6 linked regions of the Callithrix jacchus genome follow. The protein of the gene in region 6 interacts with the protein of the main gene of each other region in a pairwise test. Links are inferred from orthologs where the notes say so. Each region holds a gene or a part of one and is shown on either strand. Other genes may lie near its edges. The genes, in order: KIF20A, FHL5, DNAJA3, TRIM27, CEP70 and ATOSB.

Region 1 (3,101 bases), on a different chromosome or scaffold from region 6:
CTGTCCCAGGTGACAGAGCAAGAGGGATCACTCAGCTAGTACCTGCACCACTGTTCCCGCTGTTGCATCTGTTCTACCATCTCAGTGCAAATTTCATCTCGGAGCTGCATCTCCAGCTGCAACTTTTCCTGTCGTTCTTTCAAAAGCAGTACCTTCATGGCTTCCACTACTTGTAGAAGCTCCTAGGGGAGAGACACGTGTCAGAGGTCATCAGATGCCCATGCCCTCGAGAGGCACAAGCCCACCTGGAAGGCACCATAGAAAATGTGTAGCTACTAAGCTGCTGCACCAAAGCCTTCTTGAATTCTCACCTCTTTGCCATACATGGAGACGTCAGCTTCATTTTCAGTGTTATTATCAAGGCCTGCGTCTGCCTTAGCCCCTTTCTCTAAGCTGGGGGATGCCTGAAGACTATGTTCCTTGATGAATGAGTGCAGGGATGGGAATCCTAGTTGCACAGGTGGGGCATGCACAAGCTAGAGAGAAAAAAAAATATATCTTACTTGAGTCTGTAAGTAGTCCCTAGGAGCTTTCTTAGAGTTACCAGTTCCAAGTTGAGCATACCCATCATACCTCTAGCTTCTCACCTGGCTAGCAATGGCTGAGAACTTGGCCACATGAAGAGTCTCATCATAGGTAGATGCACAGGGATTCACATTGACAATCATGCAGGAACGGCCTCGGCCCGTGAAGAAACCTTGGAACACTCGAGTCAACTTGCTGTCACGGAACGGAACCAAGTTCTGCTTTGAGCTGGCAGAGAATCAGAGATACTAGAGCTGTGAGCAGAACAGCAGCCTTTGGGGTAGCCTAGCACCAGTGGTGATCAGGAAGTCTCTTAGCAAATTGCAGAGCCTAGGGCTTATAATCAAAAGCTCACCGGTTCTGCTGGTTTTGACGAAGGGCAGCAATACAGCGGCCCAGGGTGTGCAGAGAGGTGTTAATGTTTCCTGCTTCCTTCAACCGTTCACCACTCTTCTGATCTTTGCAGCGCTCTGAGCCAGCCAGATCACAGAGTGACAGCCTAGAATGATGCACAGGATCTGACAAGGGCCTCATATGTTATGAGCCTTCTGGCCCTTTGTATAATTCTGGAGAGGGGAGGGCCCACTAAGAATCTCTGCACCCAAAGAAGGAGAACAAGTTCCCCTAAGAACCTCCCTCATGCTTTCCCGACTACCATTTATGACCAAGAAGCCCAAATTTCGAAATGGAAAAACTTACTCGCTGATCTTGGGGACTATATCTCCTTCCCCATGAAGGTGTAGGATCCTGATTGAGAAGATGCTGTGACTGGAAGTTATGAAAAACAGTCATTGCACATCTTCTATGACCAGACGGAACACTAATGTTTCCTGAACACAGTGAAGTTTATTCTTACAATCCACTCACCTGCGGCTGGAGTTCTGGTTGAGGTGGGTGCTGGCAAAGCTCTGGTTCTTACGACCCACTTTCAGGAGCTTCCAGGCCTCCTCAGCATCTTGAACATGAATCCAGTTGAGATCTGAGGCCAAAGTAGAGAAGGGTATAAGATGGGAACATCCAACTCTTTTGCCAGTCTCTCCCCAATTGCCCTCCAGTGTTCATGCCAACTTCCCCCATTTCTCATACCTTTCACATAGGGATTGCCATTTTGATCCTCGCATAGCCGCAAAGTCTGCCTCTTGCGCTGCTGGTTAGGCGGTTCTAATAGGTCATAAAGCAATTCATTGTAGATTTCAAAGAATGAGATCCAGATGGAGAAGCGAATGTCTGCTGGGACAGGTACTGGGGCAGTGTCTGGCTGTGCCCATCGGTGACTTGTTTCTGGGGAAGAAGCCAATGTATAGGGCATCAACTTAGAGCAGTTCATCTCTTTTTGGCCTGCAGGGGCTTCAGAAGGCAGACCTCAGATTGCAACCTCTGGTCTGTACTCTGGGCAGCTGTTAGGAACAGGGAGTGGGTTCCTACTGTTTCTTGGCAGAGCCCAGTCATCGTACATACCATCCAGCTGGCTACTGCTGGTATACTGACTGATGGAAGAGAGCCCAGCAATGCCACTGTCGAAGCTGGTGCTGGTACCTATCCGACTTTCAATGTAGACACTCCTCTTCAAGGAGGTGGACAGCTCCTCCTAGAGGGGCACAGGGAGAAGGTAAGCACAAAACTTCCCTAGATTTGTACCCCCTGCCCCCACTGCCATGGATACCAATGCTTTACCTCTTGGAGACCTCCATTTAGCAGAGATAGCTTCTTCATTTCCTCCTGTCGGATCTGCTTGCTATCTAGCCAAATTACCTCATTGGAAAGCAAGGGTTTCAGATCAGGTGTTGGATGAAGTTGGCCTTGGAGGCTATTGAAGATCAGTGCCAGAGACCGGGGAAGAATCCCTCCATCCTTGATGGTACCTGGAGGCATATGAAAGATGGCTGAGGCAAGTGTCTTTCTCCCCCTAACTCAGAGTATCAAAAGGTAAAAACAATGCCATTAGCAGCCAATCAGGAATCCTGTGAAGCATTACTACTCACCTTGAATCGTGTGGGTTTTCCCTGAGTTAGTGACTCCATATGTATAGATGAGCCAGTTCTGGCCTTTGAGTACATCTTTTACCATCTCCTTCACAGTTAGGTTGAAGAAGGATGCCTGTCCCACTTCTGGCCCAAAGATCTAGAAAGAGACCCAGATTTTTAGTGGCCTATCCTTCATCTCCCACTTGCCTCCTGTGCAAAGCTGCAGATATATTCCTTCCTGAGTGGTTGGCTCTGGAGACCACTCAAGCAGCTTCTTCCTGTAGTGCTGCCAGCTGTTCCCCAAACACTGAGGACTAAGCACTCTCTGCTAGTCTATCTTTCACCCAAATCAACAAACACTTAAGGAATGTTATGCCCTAGGCCTGATGCTGTACACACAATGGGGCAATATAATGGCCCCCAATCGTGGGCTTTGGAGATACATGGATCTAGACTCAGGTCCTAACTCTACCCATGACTAACTACATGGCTTCAGTAATATTACATTCACCACACTATCCTTGTCAGGAAAATAAGGAAATAACGATAATAATATAATTTGTTGGAATTGAAATACATATATTACTTGACATAGTGACTAACATATAACTA
Region 2 (3,500 bases), on a different chromosome or scaffold from region 6:
GTGCAGGCTCCCAAAGTATACTCTTGTACTTTCCTTGAGAATTCCATGTAATATTTGTACTCATATATAGGTACCCGCTTGTGTTTATCTCAAAAGGAAACATAAATGAAAGCTTCCCATCTTTTACTTGCATTTCCTAAATTAACTAGACAGCCTTTTGTATAGCCATACCTGTTTCATGGCATGATCATATTGAACTGGAGAACTCACCAGTAATGGGTTTGGAACAGGCTACACACTTGTTGGCATAAAGATGGTTGTAGCAGTCCACGCAGAATGGATAGTCATCTCTGGACATAAACTGTTCTTCACAGAGATCTTTCCTACAGCCACTACACAGAAAACACTCTTTATGCCATAGCTGGTCACAAAATGTTATCCCACCTGAAGTTATCACCTGCCAAAGACCACAGAAAAGGCAATGACCATGGGAACCATTACAATTCAGATCACTTCATGATTCTCTTTAGATTCCAGTATCTGTGGGGGGAAAAGGAAGCAAAATGAAAAAAACGATCATTTTATGTCTTCTATATCCAGAACTGATGCTTCCAGCTACTCTATTTTCACCTCATGTTAGGATGTTCCTTTCCTAAAAAATGTCTTTAAAGAAAAAGGTATAATAATATGAGAAGCCAAAGGCTATAGAAATGAGCTAGAAGTAGAAAGAAATGAAAATTACTGTATATTTTTCTCCTACAATGAAATAGAACAGAGGCAGGGCTATATTGGTAACTCTGAATGGAATTGGCAAGCACCGTTATTTGCTAATGATAACTACCATTTCCTAAGTGTTTTTTTAGTCCTTAGCACCGTGCCAAGGATGACCTCTTCTAAAAAGTCTCAACACCTCTACATAGTAGAGACTACTATCTTTCCCTCTTTCCAGATGAGCAACTACTGAGGCTTACAGTCATTAAGTTACTTGCCATGGCCACAGTGAGCTAGTATTCAAACCTGCATGGTCTGACTCCATAGCCTGTGTGCTTCACCATTAGTACCAGACTGAGTCAAGGTTATCTTGCACAGGTAAGCAGCTGATAAATCCTTGTTGAATGAATGAATAAATACCAAAGGAAAAAATAGCTGGAAAGCAATTCCAGTATTGTATCTAGCAATGGGGTGCTGTGGGAATCAGAACTCAGTGGAATGAGCACTGGTTGTACATTGAGCCTTAACGTGTGATGTGAAGCGTTTTGTCAGAGATGTAATTAATTTTCCATAAGATAATATTTTTTTTCTAAACCAGTTTAATTCATGAATTCTACCTTTTAAAAGGCTGAAAAATCTTTATGCAGATTCAGATGGATAAATATTGGGCAATTCTTCTCGTGTAACTATTTTTAAGCCATATCACCTTTTGAATTCACAGCTAATGAGCTCTTGGAGTTGCCGTAGATACTGAAGTGTGTTTTTGTAAATGTTTTATAATGAAGCAATGGGATATCTGAGGTGGTTCCTATAAACTTTGTATCAAATTAACTAGATAGCAAAAACACAGAGCCTATTTTAAACCACTTCCTTGTTTACAAACTCAGAAATGTTGTCTGTAATACAGACTTGTGAAAAAATTATTCTAAAGATATTTTTAATTTTATAACAAATATCTTAGAAATTAAAGATATTTGATATAAAAGATTATTTTCCTAGGGGAAAAAAGCATGCTATTCTGAACAAGTAAATGGGAAGCATAATGGTGTGATGGAAGTAAAGAAATTTAAAATACCCCCTACTGACTTCAAATGCCTTACAGCAGACACAGCAGAATTCATGATTCCTTTGATTTATTTGGGCTAAGTATTCGCAGGCAATGCTTAAAAGATTCAAAACTTGAAAAATGTATTCACAGCAAAATAAAACTTGATATATACACCAAAGACTGTTTAATTAGAGAGAAGAAACTCTGGAACATTAAAAATAGTTTGCTTGTGATTATATTCCTTTTGAAGAGGTAGGAAGGTTAAGATGAAGTCTAATATCTGAGCTTGGTTTTCACCACTGATTGATCCCAGGATTTAGAAAAAGTTTCTTCTCTGAAAAAGTGGAGGCAATAATGATTTTGTACTCAGTAGGTGACAGATGAAGAATCAAAGAAGACATTTAACTCTTTTTGAATCTTGAGGAATTTGAATTTGAAGCATTTGTAGTTTGAAGTCATTTTCTTTCTGGCAGAAAATAAATCTTAGTATAATAAAATAAAATCTATGGACTTTAAAGCTTAAAGGTTTTAAGGGCCTGGTTGTCAAGTAGTTTTTCCTTTTTCTTAAGAAAAAATTTGGTCTTTGCCTTGAGTTTAAAAATTGTTTAGATTGGATCGTCTTGAGCAAAAACATATCTAGCTTTTTAGAAAAGGACTTGTGGTTTTAAAAACTAAATAAAAAACAATCTGGTATGTCACAATCTGTCTACTACCCAATATAAATATTTTGTAAATTTTTGATGACTTCAAATCATATCCTAAATATAGTTACAGGCTCCTATAACCTGGGAAACACCAGCACTTGGCCCAGACAGTTCTCAGCATGAATGTACTAAAGAAGTTTCACTCCTGAATTTTTATAGCATTGAAAGAGACTTTGTATTGTGTCCAGTAATTGATTTTAAGGTAATTCTCACAAATTTAATTACTTTTAGTCTAAGTCTTTAAGAAATGAAGCCTAAAATTGGCCAACTCAGTTGTCTCTTAAAACAGTGAGATAAACCTATTCATTTTATTTCCAGCATGATTTTAATTCCTTTAATTTTTAATTTTTATATATATTTTTAGAGATAGGATCTCATTGTCACCCAGGCAGGAGTGCAGTGGCTCAATCATAGCTCACTGCAGCCTTGAATTTCTGGGCTCAAGTGATCCTCCTGACTCAGCCTTCCCAGTAGCTGTGACTACAGGCACATGTTACCACACCTGGCTAATGTTTAAAGTTTTTTTATGTTGCCCAGGCTGGTCTTGAACTCCTGGCTTGAGGCAATCTTCCCACCTCGGCCTCACAAAGTGCTGGGATTACAGATGTGAGCCACCATGCCCAGCCTCCAGCATGTTTTTAAATGCTGTCATTGACTCTGCTAATTCTTTGGAGCTTCATATGTCATATGGTCATATAGTTTGCTGCTTATAAAGTCATTTTCTAAGCCAGTGTTTTGGTAGAATAATGAAGTTCTCAGTCATAAGATTATTTGATATCTTGTTGTGATCAATTGTAGTTCTCAGCCATCAATATAGTGTAACTTAATAATTATGATATAGCATACTGTATTGTTGCCTCTTTAAATGCAGGATTGGTATTGGTTATGTGTGTTAAAAAATTACTGTGTGCATGTGTGTATGTGCATGTTTGTTCACGTATGCATGTGTAGAAAGTGGTAGTGTGACTTCCAGCTGTCCAGATATACAAATGGGCTTAAGAGTTCTGCCAAAGTAGCCCATAGATAAGAAAATACTTAGAAACCGCTACACTAATACAGTGTGTTTTCCTGCTTCAGCTTTCTCATTTCAATTTATG
Region 3 (4,116 bases), on a different chromosome or scaffold from region 6:
TCCAGACCAGCAGGGCCAACATGGTAAAACCCTGTCTCTACTAAAAATACAAAAATCAGCTGGGCATGGTCATTGGCACATGTAATCCCAGCTACTCAGGAGGCTGAGGTAAGAGAATTGTTTGAACTTGGGATGCAGAGGTTGCAGTGAGCTGAGATCACACTACTGCACTCTAGTCTGGGTAACAGAGCAAGACTCCATCTCAAAAAAAGAAAAAGCAAGAAATAAAAAGCTAGTCTGGTATGGCGGCACACACCTGTAATCCCAGCTACTTGAGAGGCTAAAGCAAGAGAATCGCTTGAACCCAGCAGGCAGAGGTTGCAGTGAACCAGGATTACACCACTGTACTTCGGCCTGGGTGACAGAGAAAGAGTCCATCCCCACCGCAAAAAAATTATTCTCTTGGCCAGGCGCAGTGGCTGACACCTGCAATCCCAGTCCTTTGGGAGGCTGAGGCAAGCGAATCACTTGAGCTCAGCCTGGGTAACATGGCAAAACCTCAACTACAAAAAACACGAAAAACTAGCCAGGTGTGGTGGTACATGCCTGTAGTCCCAGCTACTCAGGAGGTGGAGAATGGAGGATCGATGAAGCCTGGGAGGTCAAGGCTGCAGTGAGTAGTCATTGTGCCACTGCACTCTAGTCTGGGCAACAGGAGGAGATCCTGTCTTAAAAAATAAATAAATAATCATTATCTTTTTTTTTCCTTTTGAGACAGAATCTCACTCTATCGCCAGACTGGAGTGCAGTGGCGCGATCCCAGCTCACTGCAACTTCCATTTTCTGGTTTCGAGCAATTCTCCTGCCTCAGCCTCCTGAGTAGCTGGGACTACAGGCACACACCACCATGCCCGGCAAATTTTTTGTATTTTTAGTAGAGATGGAGTTTCACCATGTTGGCCGGGATGGTCTCCATCTCTTGACCTTGTGATCTGCCTGTCTCGGCCTCCCAAAGTGCTGCGATTACAGGCGTGAGCCACCGCGCCCGGCCATAATCATTCTCTTTATCAAACACACATCCAATCTCTTTGCTCTCTGTCGTCTCCTCAGTGCCCACAATGGTGGGTGGTATAAAATAGGCCTCAATTAATTCCCGTAAATGAATGAATTTTCAAAGAGAGGCTCAAAGCTATTAAATAATACACCCAGGCCACACACACTGGCGAAGTTCACCCCTCAAGCCCAAGTTATTTTCTTTACATTGCATGAAACAACCACAATTACTGATACTTTATTGTCTACTATGTAAGTATTACAAAACTGGATTGCAATAGAAAATTATCTGGTATTAATTATCCAGTCAGGGCCCTTTAATTAATCTTTATAAATTTATGGATAGCTTAAATATCATTTGGACAAATCCTAGAGAACACAAAACGACTAGCACAATTCAGGCACATACAACATACAGCACAAAACACACAGCATAAAAAAACATGGCTGCCAGGCGTGGTGGCTCATGCCTGTAAATCCCAGCACTTTGGGAGGCCGAGGTGGGTGGATCACCTGAGGTTAGGAGTTTGAGACCAGCCTGGCCAACATGCCGAAACTCCATCTCTATTAAAGATACAAAAATTGGCAGGGCATAGTGGTGGACACCTGTAATCCCAGCTACTGGGGAGGCTGAGGCAGGAGAATCGCTTCAACCCGGGAGGCGGAGGTTGCATTGAGCAGAAATCAAGTCACCACACTGCAGCCTGGGTGACAGAACAAGACTCCACCTCAAAAAAAAAAAAAAAAAAAAAAGAAAAGAAAAGAAAAAGAAAGTAAAACACCAATAAGCACTTCAAGGAATGTATAATTTGGTATCATGTCAGGCAAGGAAGGCGGCAAGTTTCAAATCAAGGCTCCACTTCTTTGTGACATTTATAAATGGTTTAACATCTAAGCCTCAGTATCTTTATCAAATGGAATAACAGTGCCTATCACATGGAAATGTGATATAAGGGGAAAACCATGCCTGACCAACAGTAAGTGCTCAATAAATGTCTGTGTTGTTATTACAATTACCAACTTAAGGACTTGTAAAACATATTAACTGTGCCTTTCAATTGGCACCATGTGGTAGAAAGGGCCTAAGTTATGACCTGACAGCTCTGGGTTTGAGACAACTCCTAGTCTAACCTAATGACCTTGGGCTTGGGCTGGTCGATTCCTCTGGTGAATCTTTAAAATGGGGATGAAGACAGGCATCTCGCAGGGTTGTTGTAAGAAAGTACCTAGTCCTTCCCGAAGGGCAGTTACCTCTTGCCTTCCGCTAAGGGCTAGAAGGTAGAGAGATGGGAAAGGAAGAGCAGTGGCCTCCAGAAATGTTGACAGAGAGGTGAAGGTTCACGATCTACGGGGTGTTTCATCACTGCCGCCGTGGGCTCCACGCTTCTCTCCCTCCCTAGACGGCTGAGTAGCCTCTAGGGCCTCTCCGCCTCCTGCCTGCCTGACTCTCCCGCAATTCCGCATCGGGGTCGGAAGACACCCTCCACCCCGCTACCCCCGCAGAGGTAGTCGCAGCGAGAAGACTCGCTCCTTTGTAGGCCTGAAACCGCCACTCGGGCGCTAGAACCTGCCCTCACCTGTGAGGTTGACACAAGGTCTCAATGTCAGCAGCGTTCGGGGGCCACAAGCGATCAGGGTAGACGGGAAGGCGGGGATGCCCAGCTTGCGGCTCAGCGATGCCCCTATCACGCCCTCCCTGGGCGACCGGGCCCCTCTCCCCGCTGCAGCCGGCAGCCGGGGGGTCCCCACAGCCACCAGCAACCAGCGTGTGGAGCACCGCGCCGCCATCTTGGCCCAGGGACACTGCGCCTGCGCCGCCCGGCTCTAGGGCCCTCGCAGGAACGGCGGGCGCGCGTAGAGGCGCTAGCGTTGCGCACGCGCAGACGCACGTAATGCGTCTTCCTGGTAGCCATCGCCGAAACCGGGTTTCCTCTGAATAGTGTTGTTAGGTAGAATTGCCCTGCATAATCTCGTTGTTTCGTGATAGACGACCAATGAGTGCACGGTATCTGTATAAGGACGTGGTTGAATGTAGCCGAACGTAATCGGTCCGAGGGTACCGGGGTGTGTGTGGGGAGGGGGGCGAGACTACAAGTCCCGGCATGCAACGCGGCGCTCTGTAGTGCCGCTCCCAGCATGCCGTGCTTGGTTCCCTCCTGCTGACCCTGAGACTTACAGTGAATTGCGTGCGTTTTACTCCTGCTGTCTCCGCGAGCTTATGGTAAATCTTCGCTGTCATCCCCAAAGCCCGGCCGCAGTCTCACTTTCTCTTACTCTGATTCCCCACCATCCTTCTCTAACAAGACTCAACTCCCTTCTTAAGCATGTTAGTCTTCTCCAAACCTGCAGTGAACTTGGTGGTTCAGAATGAGAGCGTTGCTGCCTAAAAACTTAGTGAAACTTGTGAGCACCTAATGTGTGTCATGCATGTTCTGGAATATCCGGGATACAGTGATGCATGACACACCATCCCTGCTGTGGAGGAGCAGACAATGACTCGAGAGGGGCTCCTTAGCAGCTATGTTAAATGCTACCCAAGAAAGCCATGCAAGGCGAAGGTGTCATTTACCCAGGCTGCTGGAGTGCAATGGCGCGATCTCGGCTCGGCTCACCGCAACCTCCGCCTCCTGGGTTCAGGCAATTCGCCTGCCTCAGCTTCCTGAGTAGCTGGGATTACAGGCACGCGCCACCGTGCCCAGCTAATTTTTTGTATTTTTAGTAGAGACGGGGTTTCACCGTGTTGACCAATACGGTCTCGATCTGTTGACCTCGTGATCCACCCGCCTCGGCCTCCCAAGTCATTCCCTTTCTAAAAAGGGAGAGAGGAAGTTTGGAATGTCAGGGCTTCTGAGAGGTAAGATTCAAATTGGACTTTGACGAAAAGTGCGTCAGGTAGGAGTGGAGTATTCCGAGTAGCCAGAACTTCAGAAGCAAATGTCTAAGATAGGAAACGTTTGCCTTCTTTGCTTAAGCCCTAAATATAAGAGTATGTGATAAGATGAAGCTACAAAGGGAGACCTGACCTGGTTAGTCTTGCAAAGGAGTTTCAGTTTTTACACTGTCACCATCAGCACCACCTCAAACAATAGCAAGAGAACCTGAGGATTCTTAGTTGGGTTTAAA
Region 4 (4,142 bases), on a different chromosome or scaffold from region 6:
AAGAATTGCTTGAACCCAGAAGGCGGAGGTTGCAGTGAGCCGAGATCGTGCCATTGCACTCCAGTCTGGGTAACAAGTGAAACTCTGTCTCAAAAATAATAATAATAATAATAATAAACTTACTTTCACTTTGAAAAAATAAAAATAAAGTGATCATCTGGAAGCAGAAGCCTGTCTTGCTCAGACAGCAGGATAATTTTGAGAAAAATTTCAAAGAAAACTAGGAAACGCCAGTAAGGGATAAGAACGTAACATAAAAATGCTGGCGGGGGCCGGGCGCGGTGGCTCACGCCCATAATCCCAGCACTTTGGGAGGCCGAGGCGGGTGGATCACGAGGTCAAGAAATCGAGACCATCCTGGTCAACATGGTGAAACCCCGTCTCTACTAAAAACACAAAAATTAGCTGGGCATGGTGGCGCGTGCCTGTAATCCCAGCTACTCAGGAGGCTGAGGCAGGAGAATTGCCTGAACCCAGGAGGCGGAGGTTGCGGTGAGCCGAGATCGCGCCATTGCACTCCAGCCTGGGTAACAAGAGCGAAACTCCGTCTCAAAAAAAAAAAAAATGCTGGCGGTCTGCGGCCTCCAAGACCCTGGGTCGATGCCTCAGAAAGGAGCAAGCAATTTGTAGTTGCTACTCAGCACAACAACCCTATGTAGTGGGCATTTTATTACTATTTTAATGGATAAACAACCCTATGGTACAAAAAGTAAAAGATGTAAGGAAATGTACTTCTTACTGCGGTACAATTATCCCCATTTCACACGGGAGAAACTGAGGTAAATGAATGGTAAACCAACTTGCCTGAGCACAGGAGAGAAGTAGCAGAACTGGGCTTGTTATTGCAACACAGAAACGTTACCGTCTGATATCTAAACGAAACTGCAGGTGCCTACAAATGGGGCTGCTTAATAAAAGGCCCCACGTCTCAGGTGGGCTAGTCCGCAACCCTCATCCTCCAGACTCCGGGGGAGGCCAGATGTCTCCGTTCGTTCCTCGGCATCCACACAAAGCCTGCTTTCTTCTGCAGGGCTGGGACCCAGGCACCAAAAGGAAACCGAACAAAGACTCGGGGCCCGGCCCGGCAGCCGCGGAAGCCTATAGGCCCGGAGCGCGTGGCCAGGAGACCCGGTCGGCGCCGCGCCCGGAGACAGCGCCGGCTCTCGGGCCCCGACCCCTAGGCTGGAGCTTCGGCGCGACCGGGCCAGGGACCGCGGCAGAGCCTCCTCGGCCTTTCCGAGAAGAAAATCCCAGGCCCCGAGGCCACGAAATCTAGCCTCTCACTGGGAGCGCGGGCCAAGCCCCGCCCGCCGAGCCGCCTCTTCCGCTCGCGCCGGGGTGGGGTCTGCGCGGCCGCCGGGACCCGCTTCGGACGCGGCCACGTTGTCTTGCGCGCCTGCCCCTGGGCTTCTGCCCCTCGGCGACCCGGCCCTGCCCCGGAGCGTGTTCGCGCCTTCATCGGGGGCCCCGGCGCGGGGAGCGGCGCGGCCACCTCGAGTCTTCGCGGCGCGGGCGCGTCTGGATCCGGGCCCGGGAGGCGCCGCCCTCCGCCCGCCCCGCGCCTCCCGGGAACGGCGACCGGAGAGCGCGGGAGAGTTGGGCGCGGCGCGGAGCTCGGTCGGGGCCCATGCCCGTGCGCCCCGCAGGCCCCGCCATGGCGTCCGCGAGCGTGGCCGAGTGCCTGCAGCAGGAGACCACCTGCCCCGTGTGCCTGCAGTACTTCTCCGAGCCCATGATGCTCGACTGCGGACACAACATCTGCGGCGCGTGCCTGGCGCGCTGCTGGGGCGCGGCGGAGACCAACGTGTCGTGCCCGCAGTGCCGGGAGACCTTCCCGCAGCGGCACCTGCGGCCCAACCGCCACCTGGCCAACGTCACCCAGCTGGTGAAGCAGCTGCGCTCCGAGCGGCCGGTGGGCCCGGGCGGGGAGATGGGCGCGTGCGAGAAGCACCGCGAGCCGCTGAAGCTGTACTGCGAGCAGGACCAGACGCCCATCTGCGTGGTGTGCGACCGCTCCCGCGAGCACCGCGGACACAGCGTGCTGCCGCTCGAGGAGGCCGTGGAGGGCTTCAAGGTGAGCTGGCGGGGCGGGCGGCGGACAAAGGGAGGGGGAGAGCCCGGGGCGTCCCTTTTCCGCCCAGAAAATGGCTGAGCCGGACGTGGGGCTGGTTCGCAGCCGTCATTTCCTCCCCGTGCGCCCCGGAGCCTCCGCGCTCGGATCTGGAGGAAAACCTGTGGCTGGCGAAGAAGCCACAAGTCCCCCCACCCCCACTCTCCTCGCTCCGTGTGCCCCCGAGTTTCCTGCCTCGCGGGCGCGTTGTACACGGAGACCTTTTGACAGAATGAAAGAAGCGCATACAACCCGCGCACATCCGCAAGCTGGGGACACGCTCCGCTCCCACCGGCTCGCAACAAAACGCGCTCAGACGTTCACTGACTCACGGCCATTCCTTAGTGTAGAAGCATTTTCTCTAGCACTTTCGTTCAGTCTGCCCGGCTCTAGAAGCTCACGGAAAATAACAGCTCTTTGGTGCTTGAGTAAGTCGTTTAACTACTCTAGGACCCAGGAGATAACACAGTCATGAGGAAGAACGTGGAATCACAGGACGCTCAGAGCCCTCTGCTAACCGGCACAGCTAAACAAACAGTAACGTGCAGACAAAGTGTTCCAAATAAAACACTTGTAAGGCGCCCTTCAAGGAGTCCATGACACAATTATTTGTATCTTGAGGGCTTCAGTAATGCATACACAATTATGTCCCTGTTTAATGGGAGTACATTCATGTGTAATCCCTTAACATTAATGGACCTTTCAGCTATATTATTTCACTCACTGGTGATACATCTTGAGCAGGTTGGGAAGATGGTGTTTGCCCATGTCACACCTGAGGAAAATAAGTCACCTTCGCAGTATGCCTGTGAGGAAAAGCTCCAGTACCACACAACTCTCAGCCTCCTGCTCCAGTCACATTTCCGCTAAGTCATGCAATATCCGACCAGGGACAGGTAGATGACTCATTGTTTAAGATAGACACAAATAGTCCTGACGCAGTAGCTGAGTGGTTGAAGCCACAGGCTGCTTAGATAGACACAAAATGCCAGAGGCGAGGCTTGATGGCCCCTGTGCCCTGGGTCTTAATCTTGTGGGTGGCACTGTGGCCTGAGGACAGGACCAGACAGGACTTGGCATCAGGTGTGTGGACTCCATCTGTGATAAGAATGACCATGCTATTGGGTGAGGTGGCTCACACCTGTAATCCCAGCACTTTGGGAGGCTGAGGCAGACAGATCACAAGATCGGGAATTTGAGACTTGCCTGACAGACTTGGGGAAACCATCTGTACTCAAAGTACAGATATTAGCTGGGTATGGTGGCACGTGCCTGTAGTCCCAGCTACTCGGGAGGCTGAGGCAGGAGAATCGCTTGAACCTTTGAGGTGGAGGTTGCAGTGAGCTGAGATTGCGCCACTGCACTCCAGCCTGGATGACAGAGTGAGATTCCGTCTCGATGACCATGCTGATGCTAAGGTCTACTTAATTTTGAACTGCCATCTGTTTTGCTTTTCTCAGGAGCAGATTCAGAACCAGCTGGACCACCTTAAAAGAGTGAAAGATTTAAAGAAGAGACGTCGGGCCCAGGGGGAACAGGCACGAGCCGAACTCTTGGTAAGGGTTGTCCGAATTCACAGTCGCTTCTGCTGGTGCTCCCCTCTTCTGTAGAGCTGTTACTTCCCTTAAACTTCTCCAGCAAGTCATCCAGAACTTGTAGGTAGAGGTGGATCAACCGCACATGGCGGGGGATCTCACCCTGAGAACTGAGAGATTCCCTTACTTTTGGGGAAAGGATGGAGGAGCCTAGTTTGGAACCCCTGGAAACCAGACCTGTCAATAAAGCTTAACCTGCTAACTGCATAGACCACGGTTGATTCTTGGCAAAACTGACATAGATAACTTTATTGGGTACAGTCAGCTCCCTTTGTTACCATTCTGCAGACGTCCTGTATAAGGCCCACTGTTGCTTCTCTCTGGGTTATTCTCCTTGACAGTGCCTTGATTGTGGAGTTTTTACTCTGTTCTCTTCTTCCAGCCTCAAGGCCTTGACAAGTGGCTGATGTGTTAATTCATGATAGAGGTATTTAGGA
Region 5 (3,500 bases), on a different chromosome or scaffold from region 6:
CCATGGATGAGGGGGAACTACTGTATACAAAAATCAGCTGGATATCTCTTAATTCACTGTACCAGGCCAACATTATCCTGATACCAAGCCAGAGATACTACAAAAAGGAGAGAACTATAGACCAATATCTATTACGAATATGAATGCAAAAATCCTCAACATAATATTAGCAGGCCAAATTCAACACACAGTAAAAGGATTATATACCATGACCAGGTGGAATTTATCCCTAGAATGCAAAGATGACTCAACATAGAAAAATCAATCAATGTAATACACCACATTAACACAATAAAGAAAAAAAAATACAATCATCTTAATTTTCAAAAATCCCAAAACACCCTTGGGGGAAACTGTAGCCCCCAAAGCTAAACTCACTTCTTTGGGTTTCCTGCATGGTATGTGCATGGCATCTTCCTCTAAAGAGGATTGTTATTTTCTTATGTCAAATGATATATATAAACTGTCATTTCTGGCCAGGCACGGTGGCTCATGCCTGTAATCCTAGCACTTTGGGAGGCTGAGGTGGGCGGATCACAAGGTCAGGAGTTCGAGATTAACCTGGCCAATATAGTGAAACCCCGTCTCTACTAAAAATACAAAAATTAGCCAGGTGTGGTGGTGAGCGCCTGTAGTCCCAGCTACTCAGGAGGCTGGGGCAGGAGAATTGCTTGAACCCGGGAGGCAAAGGTTGCAGTGAGCCAAGATAGTGCCACTGCACTCCAGCCTAGGAGACAGAGCAAGACTCCATCTCAAAAAATAAATAAATAAAAATATTTCTCCAACTCCTTAAACTAAGATCTTGCTTGAGGTTCCTTGGTTATATCCAGGAGATTGGAAGCCAGGTTGTGACCCAGCTTGCTCTTTGGAATAAGATGCCTTAATCTTAGGCTTCGAATAATTCCCATCAATACTTTTAAAAATACTATTCCTTGCATATGCAGATAAGCAGGCACATAAGGAAACAAGACACCATGAACTACAGCTTAAAGAAACAAGACATGGAAATGCTAGGGGTAAATGGCAGATAGGAGGCAGGACTAGATTGCAGTTCCCACTCAAATGAATAGAGCAGTGGGTGGAGACTCATACCACAAACTTTTGCTCCAAAACTACTTCAGGAATATACCAGGAAAGCTGAGAAAATTCACAGACCTCTCAAGGAAGTGGATTGCTCCTGCAGGACCTAGGAGACACCCCAAATACTGTGAATGCCCAAGCTATGCAAGTGGGAAAGGTGGGATTGTCTACTCCTGAATATACATCCTCACTGGGGAACCTGAAGGTCTAGTTCATGGCACAGGATTTGACCTTACCTGTAACTGAGTCAAATTAGAGAGCTGAGCAAAATAAAGGGGTAGAGGAAGGAATGGGAAAAGCCCTGTGGGATCTCTGGGTCCCCTGGGAAGCCATTTCTGACTTGTCTCACAGGGGCCCTTTGGAAAGGCTGCCAGGGAAGCTGGTAAAAGACCACATAGAGAAGGAAACCCCCAGCTGAACTTTCTAACAACTCCAATCTGACATGAAGTTTCCTGGCCAGAACTTGGGGAAGGGCAAGAATAAATCCAGTGTACAGATTTGACAAATGGGGAGCCACGGAAGCCCTGCTTGCTTTCTCAGCTGGGAGGCTGGTAGCCTGGGACAAGTTCTCAGCTCTGCTCACCCACTGCCTGGAAATGAACTTGGTGCTGTTGGTGACATGCGACCAGCCTTTTGGGTTGTATGGGAACTAGGTGAGGCCTATAACTGCCGGCTTTCCCCAACTTTCCTGACAATCTGCATGACACAGCAGAGACAGCCATAATCCTCCTGGGAAAATAACTCTATTTACCTGGGAACCAGACCCCTATTCCCCACAGCAGCTGCAGCAAGCCCCACCTAAGGAGAATCTGAGCTCAGAAACACCTAACCCTGCCCCCACCTGATAGTCCCTCTCTACCCACTCTGGTAGCTGAAGACAAAGGGCATATTCTCTTGGGAGTTCTAGGGCCCAGCCTACTGCATGATTTTATAAATACACTATTGATGAAGAAAGCAACCTTGTTAACAAAGCCAGTCTAAAAATACAACATTCTAATGGTAAAGGAGTTTGTCCAGCAATGTCTTCTCTGAAACTATGATCAATACCAGCAGCTCTAGTACTGCCTGCCCCAAGCTGGCAGCATAAATGAGGATAGTGTACCAACTGCCTCTATCCTCATACTAGAGCTCCATAGTATCTCTGGTAGAGTCTCTCAAACTCCATGGAATTTATGCTAACTCACTTGATACCTCCAACACTGGCAGCATACACTGAGGGGAATTCTAGACTTTGCCTGATGAATACTGCTCCCTTTTAGGTAATCTGAACCTACATATGCAAAGGTATATATAGTGTTGTGTGAGCAAAACCACTAAAATAAGGACTTAATGTTTAAAATGGTACGTTAGTAAAGATCAGAAACACCTCATGCAACTAAACAGTTACCAGCACAAAAGACTCATTTTCTTTCATCACAATAAACACCGAAGTTTTAATAGCTTTTAAAATTAGGGAGTTAATTATTTAATGTTATAAAGTTGCCATTTCTACAAAAAGAAGTTTTAGACATAAAAAGTTGTAGATGCCACCAGCCAGGTGCAGTGGCCTACGCCTCTAATCCCAGCACTTTGGGAGGCCTAGAAGGGTGGATCACTTGAGCTCAGGAGTTTAAGACCAGCCTAGGTAACATGGCAAAACCCTGTCTCTATAAAAAATATAAAAATTAGCCAGGCATGGTGGCATGCACCTATATTCCCAGCTACTCCAGAGGCTGAGGTGGAAGAATCACTTGAGTGCAGGAGGCAGAGGTTGCATTGGGCCAAGACTACACCACTGCACCCCAACTTAGGTGATAGAGCCAGAAGCTGTGTCAAAAAAGTAAATAAACAAAGTTGTAGATTCCTATTAGATATCCAGTAGAGATATAAAGTAGGCAGCTAGATTTGAGTCTGGCATTTGGGGAGAGGACTGGGCTATAGATAGAAATTTCAGATCCCAAATTAGATTGAGATCACCAAGGGAATCAGAGTATACAGGAAACAGAAAAGATCTAAGGACTGAGCACTGGGGAATTCCAATACCAAGAGGTGAGGGAGATGAGAAAAAAAAACAGCAAAAGAAATTAGAGAATGATCAGTGAGGTCAGAGGGAAACAAAGAGGATATTCTGGAAACCAAGCGAAGGGAATTTCAAAGTAGCAGTGATAGGCCAAAAAAGGTAAAAACCACTAAATTAAGCAACACGCAAGTTACCTGAGACCATAATTAGCTGTTTTAGTACTAACCATCATCTAAGAATTCATAATTCAGTACCTGTAAAGTTTTCTGCTCCTGTTGAAGATCTTTTATTTTATTCTGTCGCTGGCAAAACCTATTTAGTGATTCATCCTCCAATTCACCAATTTTGGATTTCACACTCTCCATAATTTGTTCCAAGTCATTAGCTCGTTGTTCTTGATGGGCTGCTCGGCTTTGCTCTA
Region 6 (3,957 bases):
GATCCTGTGCCTCAGCACGGCATAAGGCTCACCCCACAACCCTGTGGGGCACTCAGCCCTACAATATAAAAAATAAAAGTTTAGGCTGGGTGCGGTGGCTCAAGCCTGTAAACCCAGCACTTTGGGAGGCCGAGGCGGGTGGATCACGAGGTCAAGAGATCGAGACCATCCTGGTCAACATGGTGAAAACCCCTCTACTAAAAATACAAAAAAATTAGCTTGGCCTGGTGGTGCACGCCTGTAATCCCAGCTACTCAGAAGGCTGAGGTAGGAGAATTGCTTGAACCCAGGAGGCAGAAGTTGCAGTGAGCCGAGATTACGCCACTGCACTGTAGCCTGGGCGAAAGAGCGAGATTCCGTCTCAAAAGAAAGAAAGAAAGAATGTGACTTTTGGAGAACTTGATCAAATCAAGACTCAAGCCGTCCGCTCCTCGGAGAGGCCACAGACTGGCGCTGAGCTGGGTTCTCTCAGTTCTGCAAGTGTCCTGTGCTGCCATCTACCGGTGTCTGGTAAGCGTCGCCCTCCCTTACTGTATCTCCTGAGGAGAGGTTGGGAGAGAGGAGACTCAAGCGCCAATTAAATTGCAGAACATATGTAACTGTCATGCAGTTCATTCGACACCTGTACAAGGCAAAGGCCCCACTTTTCTTCAGCAATTGCAGGCCTTCCTAACTCCATATCAACACTCATCTCGTAAAATTCACAGACCTCTTCGCTGACCTGCCTCAATGGGTAACAGATCTGACTCCCACTGTCCATCCCAGAACCCACACCCGCCTCCACAGCGTAGGCTTCAGAAACTGCTCAACCTCACAAACGTGAACCCCACCGTCCAGATTCCCGGACCCCTGAGATTTCACAGACTCTTGAGATTCCTTGCACTACCTGGCAAACCCTACGGACCTCCCCTATTAGTGCAAATGCACGCGGCAACCCACACGTCCCTACAAAGAGGCTCGAGTTCCACAGGCAGCTCACACCCGCGCGAAAGCTGCGAGAGAGCCCCAACCCGGCTCAGAGCCCTCAGGCCTGTGGCTTTGGCCCGGGCTCCGGCTCCCCAGCCCCGCCTCGATCCTCTCGGCTCAGGCTAGCAGCCTACCGGCCGAGGCCCCACCCCTCTGGACCTGTCATCACAGAAGCCGCACGTGGCCAGGGTGGGACCTCAGGCGACCTGCAGCCATCACTTTGTCTCCTCCGTCATCCATTGGGGCCGCCACCGCCAATCAGAGCCAGCGGATCCGGGTTGGAGCGCCAGCGCCGGGGTGAGGCGAGCGGGAGAACGGGCGGAGGAAGGAGAGACTCTGAGATAGGAGGGGGATCGTGGTGGAAGCGGGTGTGGTGCGACTTCTACCAGGCTGGAATCCGAGGTGGGGCGCCGGTGAAAGGCGGAGAGAACCAGAGGAGGCAGGGATCAGGGGTGGGGCTTAGGAAAAGCGGAGGATCCTGGGGAAATGCAAAGAAAATGAGAAGGGGGCGGGGTCAGAAGGGGCGGGGCTCGGGCTACAGGGGAGGAGCTCGAGAAATTAAACGAGGAAAGGGACGAGGCCGGAGAAGGTGGAAGGTGGGACAAGGGAGAGGGTGGGCCGGGGCGTTGCGGGGGCGGGGCTCGTACCGAAGGGGCGAGGTTTGCAGGCCGAGGCTACAGCTAGGGCTGCTCAGTAACTGCCTCAATCACTACCACCTCCCCAAGTGCAACGGGACCCACGGAACTACAGGTGTGGGGCGGGGTGAGCGAGGAAGAAGGGACACGGATGGGGGTGCGCTTTGCAGACAATCTGGAGACTGCTGTGTGTTGAGGGAAGACACGGAGTCGGGGGAGCAGTTCGGGACTCAATGTGTGGGCAACAAGGTGCATTCTCCAGGGGCCTCTGTGGGGGAAGGGCGGGAGCGCTTTGTGGGGGGGTGCAAGGTACACTGTGAGGGGGCTGGTTCGCTGTCTGATGTGGGGGGGTTGGAGGCGGTACATAAAGGGGAGGGGACTTGGAGGCGCTTTGAAAGAAGGGAGACTGTTTAACGGAGAAGGGTGGTGGGCCAGAGTGTAGGGGTGTCGGAGAGTCTGCGGGCACTATCTGAGGGGAAGGGGTTGCAGGCCCCAGTTGAGACGGGAGAACAGAACCCCCAGTATCCTAGCAGTTTAGGGCATTGTAGTAACTCCAGGAAGACCTTTGTGTTCTGGGTTCTAGGAGCAAGGGTGATGGAATTAGTGAGGTGAGGAGGCCAATCTGTTGCACTCATGTCTTTTAACTCCACCTTCTGGCCTGGGCACTGAGAGGAGCCGGACCCTGCTTGTCACCAGGGCTTGTGTGACTGTCTCCTCAGTCTATTTTGGATCTGTCCAACTAAGACTGGGGTTTCTTCCCCTAGCTGAGGTCCCGTAGGACCCTTCCCCCACTGTGTTCCTGTCAACCCCCCATCCTAGTTCCTGTTCCTCCCAGAGCCGGCCTTGGTCTCTGTCTCCCCCCCTCCCCCGCCCTGCCCTGCCCTTAGGCTCTGGGTGTGCTCATTTCCCACTTCCTTCCTTGCCCCAGGGCCTGGCCTGGCCCTTGCCCATCTAGGAGCTGTGCCCTGCCCAGGACTTTGTACTCAATGACCAGAGACCCTGGTAACCAGCAGGAAGGCTCAGACCCCACCCCCACCACTACCACCCAGGTCTCGCATAGCCCCCCCAAGTAATTGGTAGCCACATTTTACCACTTGCCAACTGGTTCCAACTGGTTTTCCCGACTCTATTTATTTTTTATTTTCCCCACTCTTGTCCTTCCCCTGGATGGGGAACCCTAGGGCTTCTGTGGGAAGGGGGAAGTGGTGAGGAGTACTGAGGGTCTTCGATCTCTTTTGAGAGGCGGGCCACTACTGTAAGCTGAACCCAGAAAGGGGTATGAGGTTCCAGCCTCAGCTTGGGGAGGAAGAGGGAGTGGCTCCCCACACTCCCTGCTTGAAAGCACTATCAGGACCAAGACTAGGACCTAGTACTCCTGAGGGGTCCTCAGCTTCCCTGAGGAGATTTGATGGAGTGCCAGAGTTCTTTTTGCCCCTAGGCTGGCTGGGAGAGTGTGGGAAAGACTTGAGTTCCACACAGTGGCTGAATGAGTGTGACAGTGTTGCTAAAAGGGGCCCCAAGCCAGCCTCCTCACACAACTACCCAGGAGCTGAGAGACTGGCTGGGGAGGGGGGTGTGCTGAGGACAGACAAAGCCCTGGGGTAGGGTGGGGTAAAAAAGGGCAGGCTGAAGCCTTTTGAGGAGGAGCTGATTGCTATGGCAACACTGCTTCCCAGACAGTCTCGCAGAGAGGGCGGGCCTAGGGCAGACTCTCTCCAGCTTCCTCAGGAGTGGGGAGGTTTGTGTGAGTGGGTGGGGCATGAAGAGGCAGGGCATCAGTTTGCTGTGCTGAGACTGGAGGATGTAGCCTTTCTGCTTTGGTACAAGCAGCAGAGCATTCGAATGCCTGGACCTATCCTCTGAAATGGATATGAGTGAAAATTAGTCATTAGAATTATAGCACTAATAGGCCAGAGCTGCAGAGGCCCTCAGCAATCATTGTCTATACAATCCCCTCATTTTACAGGTTTAGAAATTTATAGCTAAAGAGACTGTGATTTCCCAGATATCACAATGAAAGGGCATAAGTTAGGATCCAGCTCTCCTGATTTGCTGTTCACTCAGCCCAGGGCCTGTTGTTTTCTTCAATCAACGTTTATTGAACATGCCAGGGACTAATGTTGACTCTGGGAATATGAGCGTGAACAAAACAAAGTTGCTGCTCTCATAGAGCTTCAATTCTAATAAGGGAGAAAGAAATTGTGGGGAGGGGGGAGGAAGAAGTCAAGTAGTGTTAACTGCTATAGAAAAATAAAGCAGGGTAAATTTAGTGCAGCAAGGTAAGGCCTCTTGGTTGTACCATGCTGCTTTCCCAGGATACGTTGAGGCCTGGAACAGCTCTGATCCTTCACCCTGA

The links.
Region 1: the proteins of ATOSB (region 6) and KIF20A interact in binary tests that used the Homo sapiens proteins (3 or more experiments, as listed by UniProt). The two-hybrid records come from large-scale screens. The link is inferred for Callithrix jacchus from reciprocal best matches to the Homo sapiens genes ATOSB and KIF20A.
Region 2: the proteins of ATOSB (region 6) and FHL5 interact in binary tests that used the Homo sapiens proteins (3 or more experiments, as listed by UniProt). The two-hybrid records come from large-scale screens. The link is inferred for Callithrix jacchus from reciprocal best matches to the Homo sapiens genes ATOSB and FHL5.
Region 3: the proteins of ATOSB (region 6) and DNAJA3 interact in binary tests that used the Homo sapiens proteins (3 or more experiments, as listed by UniProt). The link is inferred for Callithrix jacchus from reciprocal best matches to the Homo sapiens genes ATOSB and DNAJA3.
Region 4: the proteins of ATOSB (region 6) and TRIM27 interact in binary tests that used the Homo sapiens proteins (3 or more experiments, as listed by UniProt). The link is inferred for Callithrix jacchus from reciprocal best matches to the Homo sapiens genes ATOSB and TRIM27.
Region 5: the proteins of ATOSB (region 6) and CEP70 interact in binary tests that used the Homo sapiens proteins (3 or more experiments, as listed by UniProt). The link is inferred for Callithrix jacchus from reciprocal best matches to the Homo sapiens genes ATOSB and CEP70.

The regions. Positions count from the first base shown.
Region 1 is NC_133503.1:36,590,327-36,593,427, reverse strand, and holds part of KIF20A (kinesin-like protein KIF20A), read right to left. Parts: intron 2,647-3,101; coding exon 2,508-2,646; intron 2,388-2,507; coding exon 2,200-2,387; intron 2,114-2,199; coding exon 1,984-2,113; intron 1,807-1,983; coding exon 1,612-1,806; intron 1,505-1,611; coding exon 1,393-1,504; intron 1,294-1,392; coding exon 1,225-1,293; intron 1,025-1,224; coding exon 881-1,024; intron 754-880; coding exon 588-753; intron 477-587; coding exon 312-476; intron 183-311; coding exon 43-182; intron 1-42. UniProt on the Homo sapiens protein: Mitotic kinesin required for chromosome passenger complex (CPC)-mediated cytokinesis. Following phosphorylation by PLK1, involved in recruitment of PLK1 to the central spindle. Interacts with guanosine triphosphate (GTP)-bound forms of RAB6A and RAB6B.
Region 2 is NC_133505.1:102,562,312-102,565,811, reverse strand, and holds part of FHL5 (four and a half LIM domains protein 5), read right to left. Parts: intron 398-3,500; coding exon 211-397; intron 1-210. UniProt on the Homo sapiens protein: May be involved in the regulation of spermatogenesis. Stimulates CREM transcriptional activity in a phosphorylation-independent manner.
Region 3 is NC_133513.1:6,527,822-6,531,937, reverse strand, and holds the start of DNAJA3 (dnaJ homolog subfamily A member 3, mitochondrial), read right to left. Parts: upstream 2,801-4,116; 5' UTR 2,782-2,800; coding exon 2,571-2,781; intron 1-2,570. UniProt on the Homo sapiens protein: Modulates apoptotic signal transduction or effector structures within the mitochondrial matrix. Affect cytochrome C release from the mitochondria and caspase 3 activation, but not caspase 8 activation.
Region 4 is NC_133505.1:2,069,995-2,074,136, forward strand, and holds the start of TRIM27 (zinc finger protein RFP), read left to right. Parts: upstream 1-1,342; 5' UTR 1,343-1,627; coding exon 1,628-2,074; intron 2,075-3,570; coding exon 3,571-3,666; exon of another isoform or gene 3,667-4,142. UniProt on the Homo sapiens protein: E3 ubiquitin-protein ligase that mediates ubiquitination of various substrates and thereby plays a role in diffent processes including proliferation, innate immunity, apoptosis, immune response or autophagy.
Region 5 is NC_133518.1:45,794,728-45,798,227, reverse strand, and holds part of CEP70 (centrosomal protein of 70 kDa), read right to left. Parts: coding exon 3,334-3,500; intron 1-3,333.
Region 6 is NC_133502.1:141,997,497-142,001,453, reverse strand, and holds the start of ATOSB (atos homolog protein B), read left to right. Parts: upstream 1-1,157; 5' UTR 1,158-1,368; intron 1,369-1,526; exon of another isoform or gene 1,527-1,850; intron 1,851-3,957. UniProt on the Homo sapiens protein: Transcription regulator that may syncronize transcriptional and translational programs.